4 linked regions of the Tamandua tetradactyla genome follow. The protein of the gene in region 4 purifies or fractionates together with the protein of the main gene of each other region. This does not show direct contact. Links are inferred from orthologs where the notes say so. Each region holds a gene or a part of one and is shown on either strand. Other genes may lie near its edges. The genes, in order: CNOT6L, CNOT2, CNOT10 and TNKS1BP1.

Region 1 (7,979 bases), on a different chromosome or scaffold from region 4:
TAATCCTTCAATTAATCTCTCAGTTACCTTTACCTTAAACTACATACCAATCTTTGCCTACCAAAATACGGCTAAAATTTAATGAACACATTTATTACTCCACACATAGTAGTAAGAATGGAAGATTACTGTAAGGTAAACATATAGAAGATTTTAGCTTACATTCTGAAAAATATTCCAAAGAGTTCTGTTTAGTGGAATTAGTCAACATGCACTAAAATAATTACACAGCAATTTTTGTATACTTTGTGGATTTATATAAATAAACTCTGGTTCCTTGGTTCTTTTTAATGATTGATTTATTGGAACACAGATGTACTTACATAACTTTAAATTTTTTCCAGGACTACATAGCAAGAACTAGTAAAAAGAATAATGAAAAAGAGCTGGGCTATTTGCAAACAGAAAAAATTAAGTATGACTATTTCTCTATAAAGTAGTATATTAGGCTATTTTAATGGCAATCTATTTCTAGAAAAACAACTTCCAACATACAATATTCAAAAGCTGTTTATATATATATATGTACACACCTTATGAAAATCAAAATTCTAAAATGTTCTGTTTAGATTTTTTAACTTATAGTTGCATAATATTGCTTTGGTAAATGAGTATCTGTACTCATGTTTTTCAATGAGTAATTCATTGAATATTACTCTGTAATTAAGGGAGATAGAGTAGAAGGGACCTCAACACCGAATATTCCCGAGATTTGCTGCTTTGATTCACTTTCCCTCGGGTCCCCCCACCCGCCAGAGGAGAATGCTTGCAGTTCCAACGCCAAAATAAGCCGTCGCCTCTCCCTCAACTGTTTTTCAAATCAGTAATTCACAATATCATCACTTAGTTGCATATTCATCATTTCTTAGAACATTTGCATCAATTCAGAAAAAAGAAAAAGACAACAGAAAAAGAAGTAAAACAAAAACAGAAAAAAAAAAAGATTATACATACCATACCCCTTACCCCTCACTTTTTCATTGATCACTAGCATTTCAAACTAATGTTTTTCAATGCCCATAGTCAGGGCTGCAGGAGGAGGAACTAAAATTCAAGTAAGCATCTAAAATGTGCCAAACATGTTTCTCTATCCTCATAACAACTTTACTATGAAGGTTTTAATTATCCCTCTGTTACAGATGAGAAAACTGAGACTTACAGATATTAGGTACCTTGCCTAAGGTCAAACAGATAAGAAAAAAGGCACAGCTAATGTTCTTAGGTCTGTAAAACAAATCCTCTTTCTACTAAATTGCATGTGAAAAGCTGTTTTTCCAGTAGTGGTAACAGAAAACAGCTCTCAGTCCCTCACTCCCAGTGAACAGCATGCATTATTTCTCTGTCAGACCAGGTTTAGAAAAGAGCAATCTCTGGCCATTATACAGAGCACTGACTACAAGTCTGTATCATGACTTCTAGTTCTAGCTAAATGAGCTAACTAGATACAAATGGAACCGGGGCAGAGACTATAAAGTAAATCAGCAATAATTATCCAAATACCATTTACATTTGGTTTTAAAATGCACTATGTCCCTATTGGCAGATTTATCTTTATAACTGCGTTTTATTTAAACTACTCTCAAGAATAGCTTTCCATGAGCACACACAAAACACAACAGAGGCCACCTAATCTTGGTTTTAGAGACTAAGGAAACTGTGAGGAAAAGGTGTCTGTTGTGCATGACTATCTTGATTGACAGTTAAGATAACTAGGGGCAATAGGTAGTCTCTCTTAAAAGGCAGTACTGTACTGTACTTTCAATGTGTAGAAACGGCTTGGCTAAACTCCCCGAACACAACTCATCTAAACAGCCTGAGCTAAACAGTCAGCGGAGTTAAGGAGGATGACAGCTTCAGTAACTTCCTCTTCCTCATCAACCTCCCTCAGCTTAGCGTGTACACGCCTTTCCCCCTAGGAGGCAGGCTAAAACAATTTCAAATGCACAAAATCGATCCAAACCCACCAATACCATAGGCCAGCGAGGCCAGCTTCCTTTTCTTCTCGCGTTCCTCCATAAAAACATAATAATTTTAAAAGCATTCATTTTACCAATGAGAAGTATTTGCAAAGAAAAACGCAAATATTTACTCAGTCACTCCACACCCCTTAAGGGAGATAGAGTAGAAGGGACCTCGACACCGAGTATTCCCGAGATTTGCTGCTTTGATTCACTTTCCCTCGGGTCCCCCCGCCCGCCAGAGGAGAATGCTTGCAGTTCCAACGCCAAAATAAGCCGTCGCCTCTCCCTCAGCAGACGCGGAGGCGGCTGAGGCGACTAGAACAGGCGTGTCCCGCCTCCGACCCTCACCTGCCCAGGCCGAGGCAGTGCCCTGGGCCCGTGCCGGCCTGACGTCCGGGTAGGCGTCCCGGGAGGCTGGCGGGTGCCGAGGCAGTTAGGCCGCGCCGCAGAGAGGCGCGTTTCCTGCCGCCGCCCGGGAAACCGCGGCACGGCCCCAGCCAGCAGCTTTCCGGGCCGGGTCTCACCCTCCCCGGCCCACGCCGAGCGACTCCCACCAGCGAGGTTCGGATCCCTCAACCACAAAGGGTGAGGCACACGCCACTCGGGGGTCCCAGACACACGGAACCCACCCCCGGAGTCCGGGCTGTAAGCGTCGACCACTCCCCCCCACCCCCCCACCCCCCACACACACTCACACTCAACCCGGAACCTCCTCTCGCCTCCGGACTGAGACGCGGGTCAGCCTCATCCGCCCTCTCCAGTCACCCGACACACACCCACTCGCGGTGGGTCCTCGGACCTCCTCCCCGCCCGCCAGGGTCCAACTCGAACACCACACACACATTTGTCCCACTCCCATCTCATTTGCCCGAGAACGCGCTCTCTCTTCCTAACACCCGCGATCCTACTCCTTCAAAAACATTCTACCTCATTCTCTTCCTCTGGCCCAGAAGGAGCAACAGCAGCCATTTCCCCGTGGCGGGGGAAACACACACAAACGCGCGCGCGCGCACACACCAGGCTCCCACAGATGCTTCCCCACCAGAGCCGCGGCCGCAGACGCAAACACAAACACCCACGGGCGGGCCTCTCTCCCGCCCGCCCATAGGAAGCTACCCCGGCAGGCAGGGCCCGGGCTCGCGAGCGGGAGGGTGCACAGGGCGCCCGAGCCTGGGGTCGCTGAAAGGCCTGTGCCCGGTCCTCACCTGCATTCAGCGCGCCGGGGTCCGGGCGGCGGCGGCGGCGGCGGCGACGAGGCGGCTGGTGCTGGTGCTGCGGCGGCGGGGGAGGCGGCGGCGGCGGTGGCGGCGGGGCTGAGGGCAGCAAAGACATGCAGGCAGCCCGCCGGGGAGAGAGGCACCGGCCGGAGGGGACGCGGGGCAGGCGGGCCGGGCCGCCCGGGGAACAGCAGAGGCGACGGCTAGGCGGACGGCTGAAGGAGGCGAGAAGGAGACAAATCCCGGGACCGGGAAAGGGACGAAGGCCGGGCCGTCGGGCTTCAAGGAGGTTGACCCTGGGCGCGCAGGAGGGGCCCTGCGGCCGCCGACGAAAAGGGCCCCGCCGGAGAAAAGTGCGCCCCCGCCAGCCGCCGGAGCCGCTGCTGTTACTCCAGGAGCCGCGCAGAGCCTGGCCTTGGCCTTGGCCTCCTGGCGCTGGAGCTACAGTCGCTGCGGGGGTTGCTGCTGCGCCTGCTGCTTCTGAGGCCGAGCCTGCTGTACAGAGACGCCAGCTTTCGGTGCCTTCGCTCTCGCTCGCAGACGTTCACACCCCCGAGGGCCGGGGGAGAGGCGTCCGGGCGATATCGGTATTGAGATTAATAACAAGGTGCAGAGAGTGCGAGAAGGAGGAGAGTTGATTGACGTGGAGGGGATGGCGGGAGTCAGTCACTCCCCTGCGCTGAGGGGTGGGGTGAGGGGAAGGAGGCGGAGCAGCGCCGGGGCGGAGCTCCAGCGCCGCGTCTTGGCCCCGCCCTTAGAGTACTGTGTACTACTGTGCTGCGCGTGCGCCTGTGGTGGGCTGGGATCTTTCCCCTTTTCTCTTTCACGCTTGCTGTTTTCTTTCTGTTTTCTTGGCTTAAGTGACAAGCAGAGCTGGGAAGGTTGGTGGGCTGTCAAAAGCAAGCAAACACAAAGCCATCTTGACGAAACCGCCTCGTCCGGTATTATTGACTGGACTCAGCGTTGCGCACTCACCTAGGGCGGCCTGACGGCGGAGCCAAGCGTTGGCCTGGGTGGCTAATGAGACACCAGGTGAGGTGATCGAAGAAAATGCTTCTTACCTCATCAGTAGGCTTTTTCAAAATGTGGAACATATGTGAGTTGTGTAGTGAAAGGTAAATGAAAGAACCTGTGACGCTCTGCGATAACCCCGTCCCATTTTCTAATTCTCCTTTCTCGCGATAGAATTACCTTTATTTGGCAGTTTTACCAGTGGCCGCTACAGAATGAAAATATTAAAATGTAAACTAGAAATACTAAGGTTTACTTGGTGCATGTGATGTTGACATTTTAGTTTCCTGGGGCTTAATTTTGTTTTTGTGCGTCAGCTTCTACTTTTGCCACTAGCAGGTCCAATAAACAAAGCTACACTGGCTCTGGGGCAGATACTGATGTTGCAGTTTTGCACAATTTCAGTCTCTGGATGCATGCTTCAAGCTTGTGTATTAACCATTGTTGGTCAAGGGTATATTATTAGTGTTCAATAGTTTTTCCCACAAGAATGTTATTTAGCACACCAAGCACGTTGTCCTGGCTGCAATTATCTCGGGCCCTGTTATTGAATGTAAAATGCCTTCATCCCTTGGGAAAAAAAGGTGCGGTGAAATGCAAATCATTGAACCAGAACTGAAAAGCTATAGAAAGAATCCACCACTGCAGAACAATTCCAACACTTTCTCTTTTTCACCAGAATGTGTGAGTGATTGAAGAAGCCTGTCAGGACAGATAAGGCCTCTGACTTTGTTTACTTTGTTTTCCATGAAAGTTAAGTTTCCATTTCCCTCCCTAGCAATACCAGACCGTGCCAACTTCTGTAAAAGGTGTCAAAATGGCCTTAATCCAGGAAAAGTCTCATTGGATCCCAACTATCTTGAGTCTACACTATAAAAATGAATAATTATCTTGGACTTTGTCAGCAACAAAGCCAAACAGGTCATTTCAGGATCCGGAATGGTTAACCTGCCTTAATGGCATCTTGCCACAGCCTTTCTCCTTGTTACACAAACTCTCCTCCCCAAAGAGAAATACTACCAAATGCTGAAGTAAAGAGATACGCTCCAAAACAATATAAATCTGTTCATATTAAGAGTTAGGAATAATGGATTTTACTGTTAAAAAGGCCAACTGAATATAATTTAAACAGTGTTCCACTCTCAGGGATGTTCCCTTTATACCGTAACAAACAGATTGACTTACTGTAAACAGAAGGAAAACAGTACATATATTAATTAGTATAACTGCATCATCTGTAAAACAGAGTGCTGTTTTTCTCGTTTTTAAATAGTTGGCAGCAGACAAATTGTATTAGCTGAGAAATTAAATCATTGTTGTTATCAAAAATTACTCCCTCATAAGACTCCAATCAAAAGACAAATACCAGCAACAACGACAAAAGAGTAGCACTTTAGCCATTAAAAAAACCAGCAGTTTTTAGTAGATCAAGGTTTAGAACAAAAAAGCAACCTGTTTTTGGTATCTTTTCAAATAAGGTTTTCATTAGAATTATTCATGTTTGTCAGATATTATTTTTATTAAGATTAGACATAAGAAGACATCTACCATAGATGTTTTCATCCAAAGAAGGTGGCTTTACTGATTGCCTCTGCTCTCTGTGTCCATCAACACTCTCTTTCCATCATCCTCCCCTTTGTTCTTTACCCCAGAACAACCATGGGTGATATAAAGAACTACCTTAGCCAAAGACAAACATTTTCCACCATTGGTATTATTGTGCAAAGTTCATCTCCGCACACCCCTTCTCAAGTTTCTTGATCCCTGAGTATTCTGAATCTCCACCCCAACTTTATCACTCTCTCTAGTATTTCTTTATATTCCAGAAATTTTCTACTAGGCAAGCACCGCCGCAACCAACAACAACAATATATAACCAGTGCCTCAGTTTATCAAGGACTTGGAGATAACTGGCATGCCGTCCAATCAATAAAATCAGTTTTACTGCTGTACTCTAAGGATTTGGCAGGTATGTTTCAGTAGCCAACTCGAGTACACAGAGAACAAGTAGGTGGGTCCTCAACTAGAATATCTTTTGTTTTGCGTATTGGTCATTGATTTCTCAGCCAAGTAACCTTCCTTTTTTTTGTGGATAATGCTCCCTTTTGGGGGCAAACTATTCTTGCCTGTACCATAAATAAGTGATGCTAATGGTAACTGTGGCCCACAAGAGTCCCCCACCTTCTTAGGTAAAGGTGGGCAAATTGACTCAACCTGAAGCAAGCAGAATTCTTCCCCAGGATGCATTCAGGGAGAACTAAGGGAAGAAAGGCCATTCCACAGTAGTGGTATATACCCAAGAAGGAAGTCTGAGTGGCTAATGGCCACATACTGCCTTTTATAGAATGAAGCCAGCCACAGAGATGAGAAGTATAGAAAACAAGTCCTGACAGTGCTCCAGTCTCTGTTTCCAGTTATCCCTGAAGTCCAGCTGAACTTTTTCCATATAGTGTATAGTTAAATTAACCTAGTGTATTCTCTTCAACATTTAAAATAACTTGCATTGCATCTCAGTAACCAAAACATCCTAATACATTGTATTTCTGCGTGAGAGTTCTTCAGAGAAGGCTAACTGCTACTAAAATAAGTTTGAAAATCACTGAACTAAATTGCATTAAGACATTAACATTTGCGGAATACTCATCTACCAAATTTTAAAGATCACCTAGTCCTACTTCCTCATTTTCTGAAAGAGTAACTTGAGATAAAATGACTTGCTGAACATCACCCAGGCAAGTCAAAGGCCAAGTCAATGTTAGAAACTGGTCTCTAGATACCTAGTTAAGTTATTCTCTTCATTATACTACTCTGTCATCTGTTCATGGTTCCCAAAGGGATTTTTTAAAGGCAATTACTTAGAAATGCAACCTTAACTGAAAAAAATACAGCACAACAATGGTAATTTCAGACACCAACTGCAAGTGGGAAGATATTTGGTGACATAGAAGCCTTAAAAATGCCATTTCCTCTTTGAGCCCCTCAAAAATTTTTCATTTTGAACCCAAACACACTCTTTGAGTCTTATGTTGTCATATCTACAACTTTAAACTACCATCTTTATGCTTACGACTCCAAATTTACATCCTTAGTCCAGAGTTCTTTCCACACATTCAGATCTAAATTGCCAATTTCTCCCTGGATATTTCCCCCTGGATAATTTATACCCATATTTTGAGCTCAGTATGTCTAAAAGTGAGCTCATTGTCTCTCTTCTAAAATCTGTTCCTGGCATTGAATGACTCTCATTAAATTTAGGAGCACCATGCTAATGGTCATGTAATCACTAAATGGTCATCCAATACAGAATCCTTTTATATTATGGATTAACTTTACCCCCTCATTAAGATCTACCAGTTCTACATCTTATACATTTTCTTTAATCTATTCCCTCTTCTCCGTACTGATGCATTACCAATGTCTTAAGTCAACCTGTCACATACCTAAATTTTGTATTTTGTGTATTAATTTGTATCCCTACTAAGTATAACCCTAACTTCCTCCTAAAACATATTATGTTCATATTACTTTACCCCTTAAAATCCTTCAACATGTCCCCGTAATTGATACAATAAAACCGAGTTTCACGAGCATACATGTTTCTTAATGACTTGCCTCTCTCTTACAGCCACCTCCTACATCCACTTAACCATCATCTCTCATTCCTCCCTTTGATGAACTACTTGTTATTTGGCAATAAAACATGCTATTTCCTTAACATGGTATGCTCCTTTCCATTTTGTCCTCCTGGAAATCATCCTTCAAATTTTTGCTCAAGCAACATTTCCTCTGG
Region 2 (7,590 bases), on a different chromosome or scaffold from region 4:
TCATCCCTAATAAAATAGACAATAGTATATAAATCAACAAGCTATATCAGTATAGCATGTTTGTGATAAGAGATGAGTTTTTCCAAGAGAAATACAAGGATTTTATTAGAAAAACTAATACAAGAAACAGAAAACATATATTTATATTGAGGAAAGTTTCAGTAAACAAAACCAAGGTATAAATTCAAAAATAATTTTTGAAATGTAAAACCTTAATTTCATTGTTTTTGCAGTACTTTTCCTTTTAATAAACATCAACTTAGTAGAGCTCTTTCCAAAATATCATAATGAATTCAATTCCTATAAGTACCACAGGTAGAAATCATCCCTAGTAAGAACAATCACCTGTATTATCAATCTGAATGACTACAATCATACCACTAGGTAGGCCCCTTGATGTGCAATTATTAATATTGTATATAATTCTATTCAAATATTACAGTGCAACTCAGATTGACTCTGCCTCTAAAACTTCCCTACCTAGTATTTCGGTTTCTTTGTGTTACAAAATCCACTAGAGTTTCAGGTAACAAATAAAATCATAAATATTCAGTAGTATCTTTCTTCTAAGGAAGACTGTATCAATGTTTGCATAAGTTGTCTTCAAATGCCTATTCAGGCAGGCACATGTGATAAAATTTGCTTTTAAATATATGATCATAACTAAGTTTTCTACAGTTAAATATTTTTTAAGACATTAAAAAATACTATTATCATTTAACACTGCTTTTCAAAGAACAAAAAAATTATAAACTAAGTTTCTACTAATCTATTAATATCTATTCATTATTTCATATATACAACGGAAACGTTTTAAAATTTTTCTGTATTATCAGAAAATCTTAAGCAAATTTGTCACTAAAAAGGGCAAAACTAACTTCCCACAGCATCTGAAAAATGTTACAATTGTTTTTCAAAATACAATTACTTGGAATGTCAATGTCTACTGAAGAGAGAAAAAACAAAACAAATGGATCAGAAGCATTTCTAATGAAATGTCACCATAAATCTTAAGTATTGATTTACTTTTGAACAAAGAGAATTTCCAGGTTATAACTACTAAAGCATCTCTGAAAAATGAAAAGAGTAAATCAAACATCTAAAGTTATAAAGTATTAAAACAAGTTTCTCATTCTTTTAGGTAAGCATGTCATTCTGAGTCTTATTTTAGCTTCAAGATTAGGTACTCAAACAGAGAGGGATACAGTTACTCACACTTATACATTAGGCCTTCATTTTTCCGTCATATTAATTTAATTTGCAACGGAAGTGTTATAGAAATTGAAAATTAAAAAAAAGTTTCATTCTTTGGTTAGTTAAATATACAGGCAACTCTCATTCCCTAACAGTATCAGATTAGGCCACAGAAATCTCTACTATATACTTACTGAACAAAATCTGCCAACAAATGGTTTTTTAATTAACTTACTTATGTTGATGCAGGATTATTTAGGATGCAAAAAATGTAAAATACAGTTTCTCACTTCCTGTCAAAATAGCAAAGCAGTCACAGAAATCACTAAAATGAAAGACTCTCAGGAAAAAAATGTGGGGAGACCACCTTTTTAAAATTAACTGAGCATATCACAAAGTCAAGTAAAAAATGGATGGAGTGTAAGGAATTTTGTCTTTTTAAAGCATTTTACTTTCCTTTTCCTTTAGCATTTAATATTACAAAAGAACTGCAAACTTCAGAGGAATTCAACCTACAAAGTTTACTAATGATTAAGAAACATTGCAAATGAAAGAGATGTGAATGTAGATTTTGAAACGTTAACTACTTCAGTGCGGTGATTCTCAATCAGTCCTTTATATATCTGGGAAAAGCCACTTTCCAAAATTGCAAAAGAAGTGTTGTAGAATATACCAAGTATTCCCAAACAACGCAACAAAAAATTGATATGTAAGTAGATAACTTTCAAATTTCTATCTCGCCCGCCCACCTCATACTTTATTATTCCCGCTTATGTTGCGTCAAAGGCAAATTATGAGTTGCACTTGTGATTAGAGCGCTAGAAATTGCTAATATTAAACATTACAGGAAATACGTTCAACTCTGAAATCCAAATTCAAGTCTGGCCTCCCTCATGAACAGCTTTTGTAAGCTCAGTACTTCCTACCATTAGCCAAAAATCTTAAGGCTTGATATCAGGGTATCGAATTATTAGGAATCGTTCAGATGATTACGAATGGAGTAGGATCAACTGACCAAGATATGAAAATGAAACAGAATGTGTTTGCACCGCGTCTTCTGGATGTTAAAAAGTGAAGCTGCATCCTAGGATTCGAAATTGATGTTTAGGTTCCTTCCGAGAGTGGTACCCGTATGTAACACTGTTATGGTAAGAACACCGTACCCACAGTTCTGAAATAAATACAAATTCTAAAATCTAGAAAACGCTTTCGTTAAAGAAAAATTATAATTCGCATTCGCTATGGACCATAGTTAGCAAGAATTAGAGGCTATCTCCTAGACGGACCACAGAGATCAAGTAAGAACTACGAGGGCCTCTGCTAGCCCACTCATTTCTTCCGTGAAACTTTTAAGTTAGAGCCAAAGCAGCAAGAGGTAAAGAGGCTCCGGCGGAAGTGAAAACCTAAGGCTAGCAACTTCACAGACAGAAGCGTCTCGGGTTCCTCCGCCGCCCAAGGACCAATCGGACTCAGTTCCTACACCACCACCGAAGATTCACCCTCCGGGTGCGGTGGGAGAAGCAGCATCACAGTTGCACTCCCCCTCCACCAACTATAGCCTTCGGTATCCCAAGGTCTGGAGACGCCTGAGGCCCGTTAGCCAATCCAGTGCCCCCCACCTTACACCAAACACACACACATATAGAAACACACACAAGTTGCGGGTGATATGCATGTAGCGAGATAATGTGAGGATCCGGAGACCGCAGCAGCTACTAGGAAGGTGGTAGCGCTGTTTAAAATGGGCCCGGGGTCCTCAGCCGCCGTCTGTTCTTCCCCAGGAAGCAGCGCGGCGGCGGCGGGAGCCTGGGGAAGCCAAATCTAGGGGAAGCCCCGCCATCCGCGGGCGGGACCCAGCCTTCAGCTCCCAAGCTGCCGCTGCAGCGGCCCAAGCAGAGCGACGCTTTACGTCCCATCCACCCCCCCACCATACACACCCCCTCCCTCCCTCCACCACCGCCACCCCCCCTCCCCGCCCGCTCCGCTCTCCCTCTCGATTGGAGCCGAGACAAAAGCAAAGGGAAGCTGCAGGCCGGGACGCTGCCCGCGGACCCCGGGCGCGACCGGACCGGCCCCGAGGCATTCCCCCGCCTTGCGAGGGCCCCGAATCCGCCGTCCCCGCCGCGTGCCCCGCTGCCAGACTTCCGAAAATTTGCCAAAAACTCACCGCATGAATTTTCTTGTCCCGCGGATCCAAGATGGCGACGTATCCACCGCAGAGGCTGCTGGGAGCAAGACCTTTACCCTCTGACCCCCGCCGTGACCCCCGTGCTCCGGCTTCCCTCAAAGCGGCGGCGGCGGCGGCTGGAGGTGGGAGCTACGTTTGCCGAATGGATCGGGTTTAGGCGGTGGGCAGACAGCTTCCCGTAGGCATGAGAGGGTTTGAGAAAAGGCTCTTCATTTCTCCACCGCTCTCTCTGTGGCCTCCGCTGTTTCTGTCCCCACACACTGGGTAGCTTGTCACTCGTCCGCGGCGGTTACGACGAGCGGGAGCCACTGCGGCCACTACTGTCCCCCTAGGGCCTGGTTGCTTCGGACTGGGCCGTGGTCCTTGGTTCGAGGAATGGTGAGGTGGCGTCAGTCAGCCCTCTCTGGGGATGCGGAGCGTGTTTGTGTTTGGGTAGGATTCCTCGTTCTCCCACGTCCACCTTGAGTGGTGCCCTTCCTGTCTCCCGTCACCTGAAGCAAACCTGATCGCTGTCCACATGTCCTTCCTCAGCCCCCGCAGCCTCCGGTGCTTTTGCACGCACTTCCAGGCACCGGCAGCACGTCACCGTCACCTCCTGAGAAGTGAGTTCCACTTTGCCGAAACCATTGCTATTTTCTACTCACTGCCCTTCCTTTATTTTTATTTTTATTTTTTTCTAAATCTAGGGGGAGGAGTTTGGGCGGGAGCAGTTTTTTGTTTGTTTGCTTGTTTTAAAGCACTGTTTTGTGAGTTTGCGCTAGCTGAGCTTGGTATTTACTGCTTCTCTAGCCCCCACTTCCCATGTAAACTTGAGTGATTGGCCGGGCCATCAGCAAGGCATTTGAAATTATAGTGGCTTTGGTGAGAACTGCAGGGGATTAGTCTGCTTTCCAGAAAAATAATCGTAGCTCAAAGTGAGCTTTCTTTGCAATAGTAAATCTTCTCTCTTTATTCCTTTATAATCCAATTTAAAATTTGTCATTGAACAGTAAAGGATTCTCTGTCAGTAAAAAATAACAAGAAAAATAAGCTTACTATAAAATAAAGGTAATTGTCATGCTTTGAAGTGCAAGGTATTTTGATTTTTCAGTAGATACTGTATGAATTTATTTAACCTCCAAATGATGCTGTTGTAGCCAGAGAGTGTTTTGCCCAGTTAGTCTTTCCTTTCATTAAATATTCTGCTTCGTTGTGCTTTTTGCTTCAGGAATATTCAGAGAGGAGCAACACACATTTCTTTATGTTCTTACTTTCCTCCCGTTTTCCCCAGCAGTTCCTTCCGGCCTCTTCTGGTTTCTCTTCCTCTGATGTTGGCCTCTACCACGGTAAGCTGACTGGATATGCCTCCATATCAAGTATGTATATGTATATGATAGTACTCAGCATTACTGAGCCTTCTAATCTCGCTATTAACAATTTGAAAGTATAACTATTAGTAATTTGGAATCATAAGATAGATGATGAAAATTGGGCGCATGCTTCTAACCATATAGTAAACACCGAGTATTGTTTGCTATGTTAAGCTATTAATTTGTTTTACATATAGAACTCTGTTAAGGCCAAATGGTGTACCTTGTTCTCACTGTTCCTATATTTACTTAGAAGAGCACAAGTCTTAAATAGTATAAACGTTAGTAAAATTGGAGAAATCATTTCCAAACAGGACAGGTCTGATTTGAGGATTTTGTTACCTTGGGTTGTTTACTGGAAGAGGTAAATGGAACAGCAAACATTTTCATGAATTTAAGTATCTAGGTTAGGACTGTTAGGAGAAAATACACTGATACTATTGCTTACTTAATACTGTTTATTTAGGATGACTTCACTTTTAGCCTTGGTGAAGAAGAGTTTTTTAATTGTCCTATTGCTTGTGTCCGATTGATTACAAATTTGTAAAATGTCTTTAATGCATACCTTAGAGGGTGATTCTAAGTATTAAATGTGTCAACATTTGTTAAGGGCTTAGTATATTTATGGTTTGCTAGTAAGCAGTCAGTAAATGGTACATATAAAAAATTGTCCTTCTGCGTTAACAAGTTTATTGCTAATATTTAACAAATTTGCCCTTCTGTTCTCTTTAATAGATTTTTCTTGTACTTGAAAAATAGTCTGTACTTATAGATATGTATTTTGTATATTTTCAAAATACATGTAAGGTAGATTCCTCTACATTTTATAGGAAAACTACTGATGTAGGCTGAGGGAAAAAAATACCTTATCTACTGTGCTGGTTTGAAAGGGTGTATGTATATCCCATTTCATAAAGGTAGAATAATCCCTATTCAATACTGTATGTTTGAAACTAATCAGATTATCTCCTTAGAGATGTAGTTTAATCAAGAGTGGTTGTTAAGCTGAATTAGATGATGACATGTTTCCACCCATTTGGGTGGGTCTTGAGAAGTTTCTGGAGTCCTATAAAAGAGAAAACATTTTGGAGAATGAAGAGGATTTGGAGAGAGCAGAAGATGCTGCAGCACTACGAAGTAGAGAATCCATGAGCCAACGACCTTTGGAGATGGAGAAGGAAAACGCCTCCTGGGGAGCTTCATGAACCTGGAAGCCAGGAGAGAAAGCTAGCAGATGACACCATGTTTGCCATGTGCCCTTCCAGCTGAGAGAGAAACCCTGACTGTGTTCGCCATGTGCCTTCTCGCTTGAGAGAGAAACCCTGAACTTCATCAGCCTTCTTGAGTCAAGGTATCTTGTCCTGGATACCTTAGATTGGACATTTCTATAGATTTGTTTTAATTGGGACATCTCTTTGGCCTTAGAATTATAAACTTGCAGCTTATTAAATTCCCCTTCTTAAAAGCCATTCTGTTTCTTTCATATTGCATCCCAGCAGCTAGCAAACTAGAACATGTACCTTATATAACTATTGTAGAAAAGAGTCTTCCATATTTTAAAAGGGGTGGACCAATACTGAAAATTTCACTATAACAAGGGATAGAAAGAACAGATATCTCAATTTAATATGTCTAAAACAGAACATTTGGGTGGGCCACAGTGGCTCAGCAGGTAGAGTTCTCACCTGCCATGCCGGAAAACCAGTTCGTTTCCTGGTGCCTGCTCATGCAAAAAAAAACGGGAACATTTGACTTCCTCTTGTTTATTCCCTAAACCTTTTTCTCACCTGGTCTTTCCCATTTCCATAAAACACTCTAGTGTAAAACTAGGAATCTTCTGTGATTCCTCTTGTCCCTCACATTCAAACTCTGACCTCATCAGCCAGTATCAGCTCTTAATTACAAATATATTCTGAATTTAGCTACTTTTCTTCACCTCCAATCCCATCATCCTGTCTGAGCCACTGTCATTTCTTGCTGGACCACTGCAATATCCACACTATCTCTTTGCTTCCACTTTGCCCCTAATTCCTTCAAATCATTCTCTACATAGCCAGAGTAATCAGTTTCATTAGGTTATGTCACTCTTTTCATTAGAACCCTTCAGTGGCTTTCCTGTGCACATAGAATAAAATCCAAATTCTTTACCATGGCCCTCAAGTCTGCATGATATGGCTTCTACCTACCACTCCAACTTCATCTTGTTCTCCTGCCTTTCCATTGCCTCCTTTTTATTTCTGTCTGGTACTAAGCACTTTCCAATCTGTAGCAGAGACTTTTAGTTCCCTGAAATTGCTCCATTTGTTTCATGGTAATGGATATAGTCCAGAATGAAGACTGTATTTCCATCTTTCCTTGTAGCCATGAGATGGTTCTGGCCAATGGAATATAAGCAGAAGTGTCATGTAGCACCCTTTCAAAACCATCCTTAAAAATATATCCGGTGCACACCTTTAGCCCTTGTTTTCTTTTCCTCTTCGTATATTTTGCACCCTGAAATGAAGATGTGATTGCCTGTAATTCTAGTTTCCATGTATGGCCATATGCAAATTCATCCATCCTAGGGATGGTAGTACCTTAAACTGGTAGACCTGGAACCTTGAGGACTTTGTGCATCAGAGCACTATACTAGCTCTGCACACCTTACATCCAGATTTTGATGTGAAAAAAATAAACTTCTATTAAAGCCAGGTTTTTAGTTTCCTGGCTGCTAAAGCAAAAAACGTGCAATGGGTTTGCTTAAACAATGGATATTTATTGCTTGTATTTTTAAGAATAAAAGTCTTGATTTTGAAGTCATCAAGGCAGTGCTTTCTCCCAGAAGACTGGGCATTCTGGGGCTGGCTGCTGGCAATCCTT
Region 3 (7,596 bases), on a different chromosome or scaffold from region 4:
CATTAGACCCACCTGTAAATATACAACTCAATGGTGTTAATTACATTCAATGTTGCACTATCATCATCTCCATCCACCACCTAAACTTTCCTGTCACCCAGACAGACATTCTATACCCTTTAAGCATTAACCCCCCATTCCCCAATCAACATACATTGGTTGACCTCTAATCTAATCTACTGGTAACCTCTAATTTCTGTCTCTAAAAGTTTGCATATTCAAATTATTTGACATAAGTAAAATCATACAACATTTGTTCTTTTGTGCCGGGCTTCTGTCACTCAATAGGTCTTCAAGGTTAACACTGTAGTAAAGATCAGAACTTCATCTCTTTTTATGGTTATATAATGTCCTACTGTATGTATTTTGTTTATCCTTTCATTGGTTGACGGGAACTTGGGTTGCTTCCATCTTTCTACATTTGTGAATAATGTCTCTATGAATATCAGTGTACAAATATCTGTTGTGAGTCCCTGCTTTCTATTTTTGGGGGTATATATCTAGAAGTGAGATTGTCAGGTCATTTTGTAGTTCTCTGTTTAACATTTTGAATTGCCTAACTGTTTTCCACAATAGTTGTACCATTTTACATTTCCACCAACAAGGTACAAGGGTTCCAATTTCTCTATATCTTCACTGACAATTGCTGTTTTCTACTAAAAAAAAAAAAAAAAATCCATCCCAGTGGGTGTGAAGCAGCATATCACTGCAGTTTTGATTTGCATTTCCCTAATGATTAATGATGTTGAGCATCTTTTCATGTGTTTATTGGCCATTTGCACATCTTCTTTGGAGAACTGTCTATTCATGTCCTTTGCTCATTTTTAAGTTGTATTGTCTTTGCTGTTGCTGTTGAGTTTTAAGAGTTCTTTATATATATTCTGGATATTAAACCCTTATTAGATATATGGTTTCTAAATATTTTCTCCCATTCTGTAGGTTGCCTTTTCACTTTCTTGATGATATCCTTTGATGCAAAGTTTTTAATTTTGATGTAATCCAATTTTTTTTTCTTTTGTTGCTTGTGCTGTTGGTATAAAAGTCTAAGAATCCAAACCACTGACTAAAACAATGTATTGAATGTTTGTTTAAATTATCATAACAAACATGGATTACTCTTTAAAGAATATCTGCTCAAAATTAATATAAATGAGTTTAGAAATTAGGCGAGTATTTATCTTCGGGTGGCTAGTGACCAAAAGATGCGTGCAGAGGGCTTCTGGGGTACTAGTAATGGTTTGGTTCTTAATTTGAGTGCTGATTACATGGGTGTGGTTGGTGTATGAGAATTCATCACACTGTATGTATGCTAATGGCATTTTTTCATAACTATTTATAAACCTGTATTCCAGAAGCATCTCAAAGAACCAACACTCTCAGCAAGTTAAGTTTGGGAAACACTTGCCTGGCACTTGTGAGAAGTCACTAAAGATTTCCAACTTCCTTTTCTAAAGAAGGCAACATGATATAATTAAGAGCACAAGCTTTGAAATCACATCTTTAGTCTAGTCTTTCATTGGCTATCTACCTGCCCTTTATTGGAAATGCTAAATAAACATTAATTCTCTCCCCCCTTTTCTTTTGCCAGAAATAAGGATTCTTGCAGTTATGTTTTTTAATGTACTGACTTCTGCACTTTAAACATACAAATTAACAAATTAATTTAAAGTGGCTTGATTATGGAACAGTTTTTTAGGCCCTATGAAACTCCTTGAAGATCAGAAACCCTTTTGAGAATCATCACTATACTAAATATATAACTTCTACTTAAGAGAACTTATCTAAGCCTTAAGATCTGCCCTACAAAAGGCTTTTTTTTAAATTAGAAATGTTTATTTCTGCTAATTAAAGTTAGCAGATAAATCAGTATTCCATTTCCATCTCAGCATAGTCAAATAAACACTAAGAATTCACTACTAAAGGGAAGGAGGAAAAACTGATAGTTTAACGAACAATTTAAAAAGACAATGTTGAACACTTTTTTTCTATTGAAAGCCAGTAACGAGTTTAATTGCACAACTACCAACTATCTACACACTAGTCCTTTGGCAAAACTTTCATGTGGACAATAAACTGTAAGAAACAATTACTTTAAAATCAGTAAAAATATGACACAGAGTTTCAGGATCTCAGAAAGCAAGATAATGATCTTAGGTTGAAAGCAAAATCCTCAGCTAAACATAAAATTATAATAAAGTGTTAACAATGAAAATTAATACTTTTTTGTTTCTTAAGATCTAAACAGGAAACTAATTAAAAAAATTTATCTTCCCTCATAAGAACTTGCATAATCAGTTTAAATCAAATGCCCAAAATTCTTAGTATGCCTTCAAGTTATCTCTACAGCTTCTTCCAAAATATGCCCATTGTCAGATAATGACATAAATAAAGGACAGAAGGAAATACCCAGTAATTCACCAAGAAGTTGAAGTATAGTGGCTCACGTAGGCACTGCTTTCATTATTCCCCTAGGAATTGTAAAAGTCTAATACTCTCTAGAAAAGAAAAGAACATACATTTCAGAGATCTGAGCTCAATAAAAAATCTTTTTACATATTCTCCAACTATGGTTTTACCTAAATTCTTTTACTGCAGGATGAAAATTTTGTTTTTTTAAAATAGACTTTAATGGGATTTCTATCTTTACTTTCCTTTTATCTTTCTGCACTTTTCAAGTTTTCTGCAAGGATTAGACATTATTTCTGTAATCAGTTTTTAAACTGTTCTTACCAGATAGAATCTGCACATAATTCCACAATATGTCTTTGTTTGTCCCACTGCCAACCGAAAGAGTAAAGGACTGTTCATCCATAAGCTTGACTTTTCTTCCTCTATGACCTAAAGAACATGGCTGACTTTCTCGGCGTACAGAGCTCTTTGATCCACAAACTCTGACACTCTTTAAGCCAACAGACTTCATTTCTAACCAAATAATTCCCTTTATGTTTTAACTAAGTAGAAGAGAAATGCACTCACTGCTTTTTGAAAACTGAAAGAAGCCAGTTAACTGAAAGCTTAACACATTCCAAAACAGAATGTTAACAATACATATCTGATTGGAACATGAGCTTCCCTCCAAGCTGTGCTTGTCAAAATACAGCTCCAATGATGTTTGAGTGAAAAAAAGTTCCCAAAGAAAAAAGAAATGTTAACGCCTAAGGAAATCTAATGCAGAAAACACTTACCAGGCCTTCGTGGACAAAAGTTTTAAATAACAAGGATGCCAAAACTAAATGTCAACAGGTGGGAGGATTGGGAAAGGGGTATGGATTCTTTGTGGAAGAAAAGGAAATGTCTTCTGATAGAGTATGGTGGTGAAGGCATATCTATTCACTTAGGTTGGATTGTATGATGTGTGAATAAAACTATTTAAAAATGAACAGAGAGAAACAAGTGCCAGAGAAAACGCAGAGAAAGAGATATACTTATTCACTATCGGTAGGGAATGAGAGGTGCAGCCGCTTGGAGGGCAGTGTGGTGGTTCTACAGGAGGCTAGGGGTAGGTTTGCCATATGATCCTCAAACTCCATTGCTTAATATATACCTGGAGGAACTGAGTGTGGGACACAAATGGACATGTGCACACTGGTGTTTCTGGCAGCACTGTTTGTGATCCATAATGAACAGAGGTGGCCTAAGGGAACAATGAATGAGGAATGGAAGGGGAAATTATGGTGTACACATACAATAGACTACTGAGTAGCAGCAAGAAGGAATGAAGTTGTGAGGCATGCAACTAGGTGAATGAACCTGAAGAGCTGTACGCTGAATGAAATTCAGGGACAAAAAGACAAATATTATCATGCCTCAATCTTATCAACTAACTATAATATAAAAATTCTGTGAACTAAAGTAGAAAGCCTGGGTTATCAGGTTGGAACTTACTGTACAAGGTCCTAGACTGTAAGCTGTTACAGCTGTCACATATATTCAGGAAGTGTAACTGTTAATTCTAAATTCTGAGATACTGAGCTGTTTGTATATAACACGGTCTTTCCCTGAAAGTTAGAGCTCTGAAGCTATTAAAGTCAGCAGTACCACCAACAAGAACTGTTTAAAAATTTGAAAAATTGATCAGACATCAAGTAGAGATACTAATGAAGCTGATCGGGATAGGACTAAGGTATATCAGAAGACTGGGTAAACGATGATATTGTCCATATTTTAAAACTTCAACTTCTGTGTGAGACTAAAGGGAGAGATATATTTGGGGTTGTTCATTCCCTAATTTTTTTTTTAATTTTGTAAAAAACATTTTTTTGCTTTAGTCTCACATATAAGGTGACATTTTAAAATATTAATTACCATGTATTTGCAGCACTGTGCAATAATGACATTCCTTTGTTCTTCCTCAAGCAAAAACATTTTAAAATTTGTACATTTCATCAATATTATTATACACTCTAGGCATTTCTAGATTATGCCATCTCAATCTTTAACATCTATCGTTCTTTCTGATTTCATTTATGTCCCCAGCCCTCCTCCCTCTATCATTCTCACATGCAGCTTCATTCAGTGTTTTAACATAATTGTATTACAGTTAGGTAGTATAGTGCCCTCAATTTCTGAGTTTTGTATTCAGTCCTGTGCACAGTCTGTATCCCTTCAGCTCCAATTACCCAATATCTTACCCTATTTCTATCTCCTGATGGTCTCTGTTACCAACGAAATATTCCAAGTTTATTCACTAATGTCAGTTCATATCAGTGAGACCATAAGTATTTGTCCTTTTGTTTTTGGCTAGTCTCACCAACATAATGTTCTCAAGGTCCATCCATGTCGTTACATACTTCACAACTTTATTCTGTCTTAAAGCTGTATAATATTCCATCGTATGTATATACCACACTTTGTTTAGCTACTCGTCTTTTTTTTTTTATTAATTAACGGAAAAAAAGAAATTAACCCAACATTTAGAAATCATACCATTCTACATATGCAATCAGTAATTCTTAACATCATCACATAGATGCATGATCATCGTTTCTTAATACATTTGCATCGGTTTAGAAGAACTAGCAACACAACAGAAAAAGATATAGAATGTTAATATAGAGAAAAAAATAAAATAATAATAGTAAAAAAAACAAAAAAACAAAAACCTATAGCTCAGATGCAGCTTCATTCAGTGTTTTAACATGATTACTTTACAATTAGGTATTATTGTGCTGTCCATTTTTGAGTTTTTGTATCTAGTACTGTTGCACACTCTGTATCCCTTCAGCTCCAATTACCCATTATCTTACCCTGTTTCTAACTCCTGCTGGTCGCTGTTACCAGTGACATATTCCAAGTTTATTCTCGTATGTCGGTTCACATAAGTGGGACCATACAGTATTTGTCCTTTAGTTTTTGGCTAGACTCACTCAGCATAATGTTCTCTAGGTCCATCCATGTTATTACATGCTTCATAAGTTTATCCTGTCTAAAAGCTGCATAATATTCCATCGTATGTATATACCACAGTTTGTTTAGCCACTCTTCTGTTGATGGACATTTTGGCTGTTTCCATCTCTTTGCAATTGTAAATAACGCTGCTATAAACATTGGTGTGCAAATGTCCGTTTGTGTCTTTGCCCTTAAGTCCTTTGAGTAGATACCTAGCAATGGTATTGCTGGGTCGTATGGCAATTCTATATTCAGCTTTTTGAGGAACCGCCAAACTGCCTTCCACAGTGGTTGCACCATTTGACATTCCCACCAACAGTGGATAAGTGTGCCTCTTTCTCCGCATCCTCTCCAGCACTTGTCATTTTCTGTTTTGTTGATAATGGCCATTCTGGTGGGTGTGAGATGATATCTCATTGTGGTTTTGATTTGCATTTCTCTAATGGTCAGGGACATTGAGCATCTCTTCATGTGCCTTTTGGCCATTTGTATTTCCTCTTCTGAGAGGTGTCTGTTCAAGTCTTTTTCCCATTTTGTAATTGGGTTGGCTGTCTTTTTGTTGTTGAGATGAACAATCTCTTTATAAATTCTGGATACTAGACCTTTATCTGATATGTCATTTCCAAATATTGTCTCCCATTGTGTAGGCTGTCTTTCTACTTTCTTGATGAAGTTCTTTGATGCACAAAAGTGTTTAATTTTGAGGAGCTCCCATTTATTTATTTCCTTCTTCAGTGCTCTTGCTTTAGGTTTAAGGTCCATAAAACCACCTCCAATTGTAAGTTTCATAAGATATCTCCCTACATTTTCCTCTAACTGTTTTATGGTATGGACCTAACATTTAGATCTTTGATCCATTTTGAGTTAACTTTTGTATAGGGTGTGAGATATGGGTCTTCTTTCATTCTTTTGCATATGGATATCCAGTTCTCTAGGAACCATTTATTGAAGAGACTGTTCTGTCCCAGGTGAGTTGGCTTGACTGCCTTATCAAAGATCAAATGTCCATAGATGAGAGGGTCTATATCTGAGCACTCTATTCGATTCCATTGGTCGATATATCTATCTTTATGCCAATACCATGCTGTTTTGACCACTGTGGCTTCATCATATGCCTTAAAGTCAGGCAGCGCGAGACCTCCAGCTTCGTTTTTTTTCCTCAAGATGTTTTTAGCAATTCTGGGCACCCTGCCCTTCCAGATAAATTTGCTTATTGGTTTCTCTATTTCTGAAAAATAAGTTGTTGGGATTTTGATTGGTATTGCATTGAATCTGTAAATCAATTTAGGTAGGATTGACATCTTAACTATATTTAGTCTTCCAATCCATGAACATGGTATGCCCTTCCATCTATTTAGGTCTTCTGTGATTTCTTTTAACAGTTTTTTGTAGTTTTCTTTATATAGGTTTTTTGTCTCTTTAGTTAAATTTATTCCTAGGTATTTTATTCTTTAGTTGCAATTGTAAATGGGATTCGTTTCTTGATTTCCCCCTCAGCTTGTTCATTACTAGTGTATACAAATGCTACAGGTTTTTGAATGTTGATCTTGTAACCTGCTACTTTGCTGTACTCATTTATTAGCTCTAGTGGTTTTGTTGTGGATTTTTCCGGGTTTTCGACGTATAGTATCATATCGTCTGCAAACAGTGATAGTTTTACTTCTTCCTTTCCAATTTTGATGCCTTGTATTTCTTTTTCTTGTCTAATTGCTTTGGCTAGAACCTCCAACACAATGTTGAATAATAGTGGTGATAGTGGACATCCTTGTCTTGTTCCTGATCTTAGGGGGAAAGTTTTCAATTTTTCCCCATTGAGGATGATATTAGCTGTGGGTTTTTCATATATTCCCTCTATCTCATCTGTTGATGGACATTTTGGCTGTTTCCATCTCTTTGCAACTGTAAATAATGCTGCGATAAACATTGGTGTGCAAACGTCCGTTTGTGTCTTTGCCCTTATGTCCTCTGAGTAGATACCTCACAGTGGTATTGCTGGGTCATATGGCAATTCTATATTCAGCTTTTTGAGGAACTGCCAAACTGCCTTCCACAGCGGCTGCACCATTTGACATTCCCACCAACAGTGAATAAGTGTGAATCTTTCTCCACATCCTCTCCAGCACTTGTCATTTTCTGTTTTGTTGATAATGGCCATTCTGGTGGGTGTGAGGTATCTCATTGTGGTTTTGATTTGCATTTCTCTAATGG
Region 4 (7,029 bases):
GATGAGTCATTCAACCCAGGTGAAGAGGAAGAAGACGTGGCAGAGGAGTAGGTTTTGGTTGCGCCTTGTGGGGGTGAGATGGTGGCCTGTAAGCTTAAGAGTCGAGAAGATTTGTGGGCATTTCTCTTGTCCCAGCATTAGCCACTGACCCAGGGCAGAAAAGGAGTGTCCAGCAAGGTCACTTGAGAGGTGCTTCAAAAATAGTCAGGGCCCTTGTACGTGCAAGGCGCATTTTGAAGCTAGCACAGCACAGTGGGGAGAGATTGGAATGGGAGTCAACTGGGTGGCTTTGGGTAAATCATGAAGGCTCAGCTTCATCATCTGTAAAATGACAGTAAGTCCCTCCATGCTTTTTTTTGCCAAGACTCTTGATTGTTAGTGTCAGAAATACAACTCGAACTTGCTTAAGTGTAAGAGAGAATTTTATAAGTTCACGTAACTAGAGAGTGCAGGGATATAACTTGTATCAGGCACTACTGGACCTGGCCTTCAAAAGTTGTGGGGAATCTGTTTGTATTTCTTGCTTTTTGGCTTCCTTATTTCTAGGCAGCTTGCCTCATGCAGTCGCAAGTGGACTCCAGCAGCTGTGGGCAGGCTTAGTCTTACTGGTTTAGCATCCAGTGTGCCCCTTCTCTCAGAGCAATGGTAGTGAGCAGTGTGGTCACATACCCTTTCCTGAGCCTGAGATAACAGGGTGTGCAGGGCCTTTAGAGCCTGCAGTTGGGGTGAGCCCCTTCTGAGTATGGGAGAGGCAGTTTCAACAGAAAATTGAGACTGTATTAATCCACAAGTATTGGGAATGAATATTTGGGCTGCAGAAATACTGATGTCTCCTAGCACTGCTTGCCCCATCCTTAGGAAGGTGAGTGAGCAGAAGCTTATGAAAGTTCCTTGAGGACTTTGCAGCACCCACAGGTGTAAGCATCATCTTTTGAGGAGTTCTGTCTGTATTTGGGCAGGTGTTAACTACGTGGGTGGAACTGAGGCTGGCCTTTCCCACTTCTGGTAGCAACAGAGTTCAGCCTTCATCAGCAAAGGCTAGAGGGTAGATGAAGATGATTAACCACAAGGAAGTGCTGACGTGCTGGACGAGTATGAGGCGACGTTTCTGTCTGGGAGTGTGGGATGGAGAAGGGACCGGGTTAGGCGATGACTAAGGAAAGCAGCTAGAGCCCATTGGCTTGTTTGGTTTTTAACATATTGAGCGAATAACCAGTTACCATGGCTAGGACTGGGGAGAAGATGGCTGAAGCCCCCTCAGCAAAGGGGAGGAGGCAGGGCTGGCGATCGGTGGTAGAGGCTGCCCTGCGGTCTTTCTCCCTCTCTTCTAGGCAGGGGTCTTTGGATTTGTGTTCCTCCTGTCCTGAGGCTGCAGGGTGCTGCCTTCCCTTCCTGAATCTGAGTCCCGCTCTTTTTGGCAGATTCGACAGCAACGCCTCTGCCAGCTCCTCCAGTAACGAGGGCGACAGTGACCGGGAGGAGAAGAAGCGGAAACAGCTCAAGAAGGCCAAAATGGCCAGGGATCGCAAGAGTCGCAAGAAGCCTGTGGAGGTGCAGACTTGGCTCTAGACGGGAGGGTGTGAGGGGAGCCATTCTCCACTTCCCATCTGCCGCCAACAGAACTTGCCGATCGGCCATCCTGGGGCTGCTTTTGTGTAGCCAGTGATTAGGGCATTGAGGGTTATCTTCTTGGAAGTTTTTCTCTCTGGTCCTTGCCCTTGAGGTAAAGTTTAGCTCCTGGGCCATGTGAATCAGGGGTCAGGCCCAGAGAAAAGGGGGCCCCTACGGAGCTAGGCACTGGAATGCTGAGGGGAGAAGCCGTGCTGTTGCCCACCCTCGGGAAGCTCTTTGTGGCCTGCTATTCTTTGGTCCCCCTTTTTTTTTTTTTTAAACCCAAGTAGGTAATCTAAGTAATAGCTGTGGGAGAATGGGGGGGGCGGGGAGTGTCTGGGAAGTGGATGTCTGGAGGCATTTGGATCCTCCCTCGTGTAGGCGAAAAAAGGCAAAGACCCCAATGCGCCCAAGAGGCCCATGTCCGCCTACATGCTGTGGCTCAACGCCAGCCGGGAGAAGATCAAGTCAGACCACCCCGGCATCAGCATCACCGATCTTTCCAAGAAGGCGGGCGAGATCTGGAAGGGAATGTCCAAGGAGAAGAAAGAGGTAGCAGAGACAGGGGAGGGTTTACAGGGCTGGCGAGAAGGGCTTTATTGGGGTGGGGTGGGGTGAGGGTCTTGTAATTGGGACAGGGGGCACACTTGGGCCATTGGTGGAAAATTTCTGTAGAGGATGTTTTGCCTCCATGGGGGAAGAGGTCTCATTCTCTGTTCTACCCTCTCACATGTGTGTGTGTGTGTGAGTGACAGGAGTGGGATCGCAAGGCTGAGGATGCCAGGAGGGAATATGAAAAAGCCATGAAAGACTATGAAGGGGGCCGGGGCGAGTCTTCTAAGAGGTGAGTCTCTGGAACAAAATGGCATCTGTTTTTTTTTTTGGCAGAGATTTCTGCAGGTCAGAGTTGAAAGTGGAGATGTTACAGATATTTGACTGGCAGTACTTCTCAAAGCTGGGGGTGGGCAGCTTCCCAAGCAAGGTTAATGTGCTCTCGGGGGTTGCTGAAGCCACCGGATAAACATGGACTATTTCCCTGGATGGTCGATTTTATTTGAAGGTGTAAAGGAACATTTTTGTTTGTTTGTTTTAATTATAATGGAACATAATGCAAAATGTGCATGTATTTGTTCAAGATGATAAGTTTTGCAGGTGGAACTGCTTCAAGCTGTGACCCATTTCTTCTGGTGTATTCATTTAGGATTCTCTCCCTGGGACACTTTGGACTAACATGGCTGACAGTTTATGTCGTGTGAATTGGGCAACATTGCCTGGATTGGGAAAGGGCCCTCTTAAGACCAGGAGAGGTTTGGCCTAGGCGATGATGGGAAGGAGCCTGAAGGCCGACCCCTTTTTTCCCCTCTTGCTAATACAGGGACAAGTCAAAAAAGAAGAAGAAAGTAAAGGTAAAGATGGAAAAAAAATCCATGCCCTCTAGGAGCTCATCGTCTAAGTCTTCATCCAAGCAGCTAAGTGAAAGCTTTAAGAGTAAAGAGTTTGTGTCAAGTGACGAAAGCTCTTCAGGAGAGAACAAAAGCAAAAAGAAGAGGAGGCGGAGTGAGGTGTGTGGGAGTGTGTGGTGAGCGGCATCCGGGGGGATGTTCCTGGGCCAGGTGTTGTGGTTGGTCTGTAAGCGTAAAGGAGGTTGAGTGAATGAGTGGAATTCTGAGGTTCTGAAGGCGGATGGAAGGTGGATTGGGGGCCCTTCGCTACTGAGAAGTGGCTGGGAGGGCAGCCAGGACTCAGTACCCTTCCCCCTAAGAGGCCTTTGATTTTCAGGATTCTGAAGAAGAGGAACTAGCCAGTACTCCCCCCAGCTCAGAAGACTCGGTGTCAGGATCCGATGACTAAAGAGGAGGAACATTCTCTTTCTCTGCTTGTCCTGTCGCACCACCAGTCTCCCATCCCTGCTTTAGTACCAGTTTTCTCCTGACAGGAAATGTAGTCCTTGGAGTTCTGTGCCATCTGCACAAGCTCTCCTGGTTGGACGCACTTCACTGGGGCAGCAGGGGAGGCGTCTTACTCTGCTCCCTCATAAGGTTGGCTCTTTATAATTTGGGAAGACACTGGGTGGGAGGCAGGGCAATGTGGGGTCCAGCTCCTCAGCCTTAGGGATACTCGCTGCTGCTTATCCTGTTCAAGTTGCTGCAGCAGGGGTCGCGTGAGGTTAGGCCTGTAGCTCCTAACTGGGGCATATTTCTACATTTATTTTGTATTTCTGGTCTGTGAAAAAAAAACATTTAATAAAGGGAACTGACTTTGGAAACCATGTTTTTATGCTTTCTCTCTGGCCCTGTTGCATTGGCCCTACTACTGTTGGTGTTGTCTCCTGCAGTGCCCTGATTGGGCAGGCCTGCTGGCCAGCTGGGAAGCAGGTCTCCAGGTACATCCTGTCCTGTTCCCGACTGGCCAAGCATTGGTTTTCAACCTCTTCTGCCAGAATGGGCCACCTGAGAGTATAGAAATGAGAGCTGATGTGATTAGGAAGTCTTGCTCACAGTTCCACTCCATTAGCCAGGCTGATGGGAGGCAGTTCCTGGCTCCATCCTTCATCACCTATGAGTCAAGGGTCTTCCAAGATTTTAGGTAATTCAATCAGGATTGATCAGCCTCCCTACAAGGGTAGGGGTGAGGGGGAGTGGAAATCTGAGCCTGGAGAGTTGGGGGAGGAGGAGTGATGGGTGTTGGGGGGCGGTGTGCGCGCCTCATGGGGGTGCAGGGAAGGTGTGAAATGTGTGAAGCTTTTGTTCTTACTGGAGGAAGGAGGAATCCTAAATTTGGGGGTTGGAAAGTACCTGTATCTAGGAAGAGAGCCTAACAGGAAATAAATAAGGAGGATTCGTGGGAAAACAGCTGCTAAAGTCCTTACGGTGGGTATAAATGTGAATTTACGCACGTGGGGCGGCCACGTTGCTTCTAGTCCCGGGAGGACGCAACAGGAAACCTCGCTAGTCCTCCAGCGGGTACCGTCTTCGTAGCCGTGACTCTATGGCACTGCAATGTGCACAGGCGGCTTGGGGCTGAGTCCTGGGCTGTCCTAAGGCAGTCTCCTGTCCTCTCTAGGCAGCCGTCTCGGTGGCCATTTTGCCCAAAGCTCTTAGCTACCGAATTGCGTCAGTTTCGCCGGGGCTTGGACCCGGGGCGGTCCCTTCATTCGCAGGGTTCATGAATAATTGAGCACGGGGCTGCCTCTGTCTGCATCCGGCCGTGCGAGCGCGGCACCGGCTTCCCACTCGCGGCTCTGCTTTGGCTCATGAATATTCAGGAGGCGCTCCGGGGGCGTGGGCCTGGGCGGGGCCGGGGGCGGGGCCCCGCCGCGGCTCGCACTAGCTCGGTCCCTCGGTGACCGCGGTAGCAGCGGCGGCGCCGGCGGGGCTTGGCGTCGGGGCGCCGAGCCGAGCGGAGCCAGATCCCTGGGGAGCGCGTGAGTGACCGGGGACGGGCGGGAGCGCGAGGGAGGGGCGGGGTCCGGGGCAGGGGCGGGGGAGGGGCATGGAGGGGGTGGGTGCCTGCCCGCCCGAGCCCCGGCTGGAGCGGAGGGGGCTTCGCCGGGAAAGTTTGCCGGGGCCTGGGGCGCGGGGGTCGCAGGGCGCCCGGGGGGAGATGAGTCGCGTGTGTATGGGGGCGGCGGGCGCACGGGCTGGAGCTCGTGCTGGCGGAGCCAGAGGGGAGGGGGAGGGGGAGGGGGCGAAGGCTTGGGGCGGGGCCGGGGGCGGGCGTTGCTGCCGGGGCGACCCCCCCCCATCTCCCCTTCACCCGGGGCCCACACTGCCCCTGCTCCTTCGGCACGCCCCCAGCCGCCCAGCCCGCCCCCCACCCGGGCTGCGTCCCCAGACCGTCGTCTGCTCGCCGGCTGCTTGGTATCCCGCGCACAGGTCCTCCGCCTCTGTCGCCCCCTCCTCTTTCTCCGCCCGCTCCTCCTCCTCCTCCTCCTGCGCTTCGGCTGCCGCCGCCCCCTCTGTGTCCAGAGCTTCCCACTGGGCCCCTCCAGACGGCCCCTCGCCCCGGGCTGTTCCGTCTTGCCGTTGGTCCTCCCTCCTCCAGCAGTGTACGCGCTGTCCCTGGCGACCTCTCTGGCCCGGCATCTGGCCGGAGATCCCAGGGTCCGTAGGGGCGCACCCCCCACCCTTCCCCCACGCACCGAGACCCCTCGGGGCTCCCGCCCGGGGCTGGAGCTGCCCAGTGCCCCCCACCCCCACCCTCAGGCCTTCTGGCGGCCTTCACTCCCAAGGGTGGGCTCGTCTTCCCCGGACTCGGGAGGTTGGGGAGTGCTCACCGCCGCTGTGATTCTGCAGCTTCTGACTAGGGCCTTGACCACCTGGGGTCCCCTGGCCGGGGTCTCGGAGCCGCTGTGGGCCGACCCCCATCTGGGCCAGCCCCTCACATCCTGGAGGAGCTTATCAGGCCCCCAGCTGAAAGTATCTGTCGTTTCGGGGCCAGTTCATCCCCATTGGTAATCTCCCACACCATGTCCCTTGTAATAACGTTCAAGGACAAGGAAACAGTCTTGTGTTTTTAAATTTTATTTTTTCTGCCACGAGCCCTTCCTCCACGCGCACTTGGTTGCCGCCCTGCACGGCCATTCTCCCAGCCCCCCACGGGTTGGCCTGGGTGCTCCTTGGCAGACTGACCCTGCTGGCAGTCTTGGGTTCCCCTCTACCCTTCTCACACCCTCTCCCATCTCTGAAGCAAACTGGGGCACCGCCAAGGTGGGTGGGGTGGGCTTGGCAAAGGTTGGGCAACAGAGGTGGCTTCTTAGAGTTTGGGGGTATCTTCCCAGACGCGCTGGAATGGGGATGTCTTTCAGGGAGGACATGCTTCCTGCTGGGTTGTCCTCACAGGTTGCACGTCCCAGGTGATAGAAACCCTTCCCCTTCCTTTTGAATAGAGGGCCAAGGCTCTGAGTACCAGGGTGGAGTGCTGGGGTGGGGGGGGGGGGCTCTTGTGGGTGGGATGGGAACTGAGGAGGTGGTGGAGTATCTGGAGGACAGGTAACATGGCCCAGGCGGGCGTGTGGGAATGAAGAAATGGTCTGGGAATGCTGGCAGCTTGGGGTCTGGGGAGATGAGGTGGTTCCCGGGGATTTTGAAGCTTCTTGGTGACATTGCAAACGGAATAAGAACAAAATGGCCAACATTGACTGGGCCTCCTTCCTGTGCACTTGGGTTGTGCTAAGCGGTTTTGCATGTCTTATCTCACTTAAGCCTCCAGGCAGCCTTACTAGCCCCCATGTTCAGATAGGGAAACTGAGGTTTAGAAAAGAAAGCCACCTACCCAGGGTCTTGCAGCTAGAAAGTGGTGGAACCAGGCCTGGTTTGAACCCTGGTCTGTTAGATCCCTCAGCTCCCGTTACAGGTTTGGAGAAGGGCTACCCAAATGACCCCTACCCCAGAGCTGCTGTCTCCCCCCGACCCCCAC

Evidence for each region.
Region 1: the proteins of TNKS1BP1 (region 4) and CNOT6L purify together in Homo sapiens (affinity purification with mass spectrometry; 4 studies listed by BioGRID and IntAct, with this or other methods). This does not show direct contact. The link is inferred for Tamandua tetradactyla from reciprocal best matches to the Homo sapiens genes TNKS1BP1 and CNOT6L.
Region 2: the proteins of TNKS1BP1 (region 4) and CNOT2 purify together in Homo sapiens (affinity purification with mass spectrometry; 5 studies listed by BioGRID and IntAct, with this or other methods). This does not show direct contact. The link is inferred for Tamandua tetradactyla from reciprocal best matches to the Homo sapiens genes TNKS1BP1 and CNOT2.
Region 3: the proteins of TNKS1BP1 (region 4) and CNOT10 purify together in Homo sapiens (affinity purification with mass spectrometry; 4 studies listed by BioGRID and IntAct, with this or other methods). This does not show direct contact. The link is inferred for Tamandua tetradactyla from reciprocal best matches to the Homo sapiens genes TNKS1BP1 and CNOT10.

What each region holds. Positions count from the first base shown.
Region 1 is NC_135350.1:51,038,119-51,046,097, reverse strand, and holds the start of CNOT6L (CCR4-NOT transcription complex subunit 6-like), read right to left. Parts: upstream 3,020-7,979; 5' UTR 2,894-3,019; coding exon 2,889-2,893; intron 2,547-2,888; exon of another isoform or gene 2,249-2,546; intron 1-2,248. UniProt on the Homo sapiens protein: Has 3'-5' poly(A) exoribonuclease activity for synthetic poly(A) RNA substrate.
Region 2 is NC_135333.1:138,799,240-138,806,829, reverse strand, and holds the start of CNOT2 (CCR4-NOT transcription complex subunit 2), read right to left. Parts: upstream 3,003-7,590; 5' UTR 2,278-3,002; coding exon 2,210-2,277; intron 1-2,209. UniProt on the Homo sapiens protein: Component of the CCR4-NOT complex which is one of the major cellular mRNA deadenylases and is linked to various cellular processes including bulk mRNA degradation, miRNA-mediated repression, translational repression during translational initiation and general transcription regulation.
Region 3 is NC_135341.1:55,329,597-55,337,192, forward strand, and holds the start of CNOT10 (CCR4-NOT transcription complex subunit 10), read right to left. Parts: upstream 3,018-7,596; 5' UTR 2,921-3,017; coding exon 2,731-2,920; intron 1-2,730. UniProt on the Homo sapiens protein: Component of the CCR4-NOT complex which is one of the major cellular mRNA deadenylases and is linked to various cellular processes including bulk mRNA degradation, miRNA-mediated repression, translational repression during translational initiation and general transcription regulation.
Region 4 is NC_135335.1:20,264,252-20,271,280, forward strand, and holds the start of TNKS1BP1 (182 kDa tankyrase-1-binding protein), read left to right. Parts: upstream 1-4,027; 5' UTR 4,028-4,197; intron 4,198-4,923; exon of another isoform or gene 4,924-5,035; intron 5,036-5,414; exon of another isoform or gene 5,415-5,486; intron 5,487-5,887; exon of another isoform or gene 5,888-6,099; intron 6,100-7,029. Other genes in the region: FACT complex subunit SSRP1, read left to right, coding at 2-47, 1,422-1,551, 1,993-2,163, 2,367-2,455, 2,987-3,173, 3,391-3,462.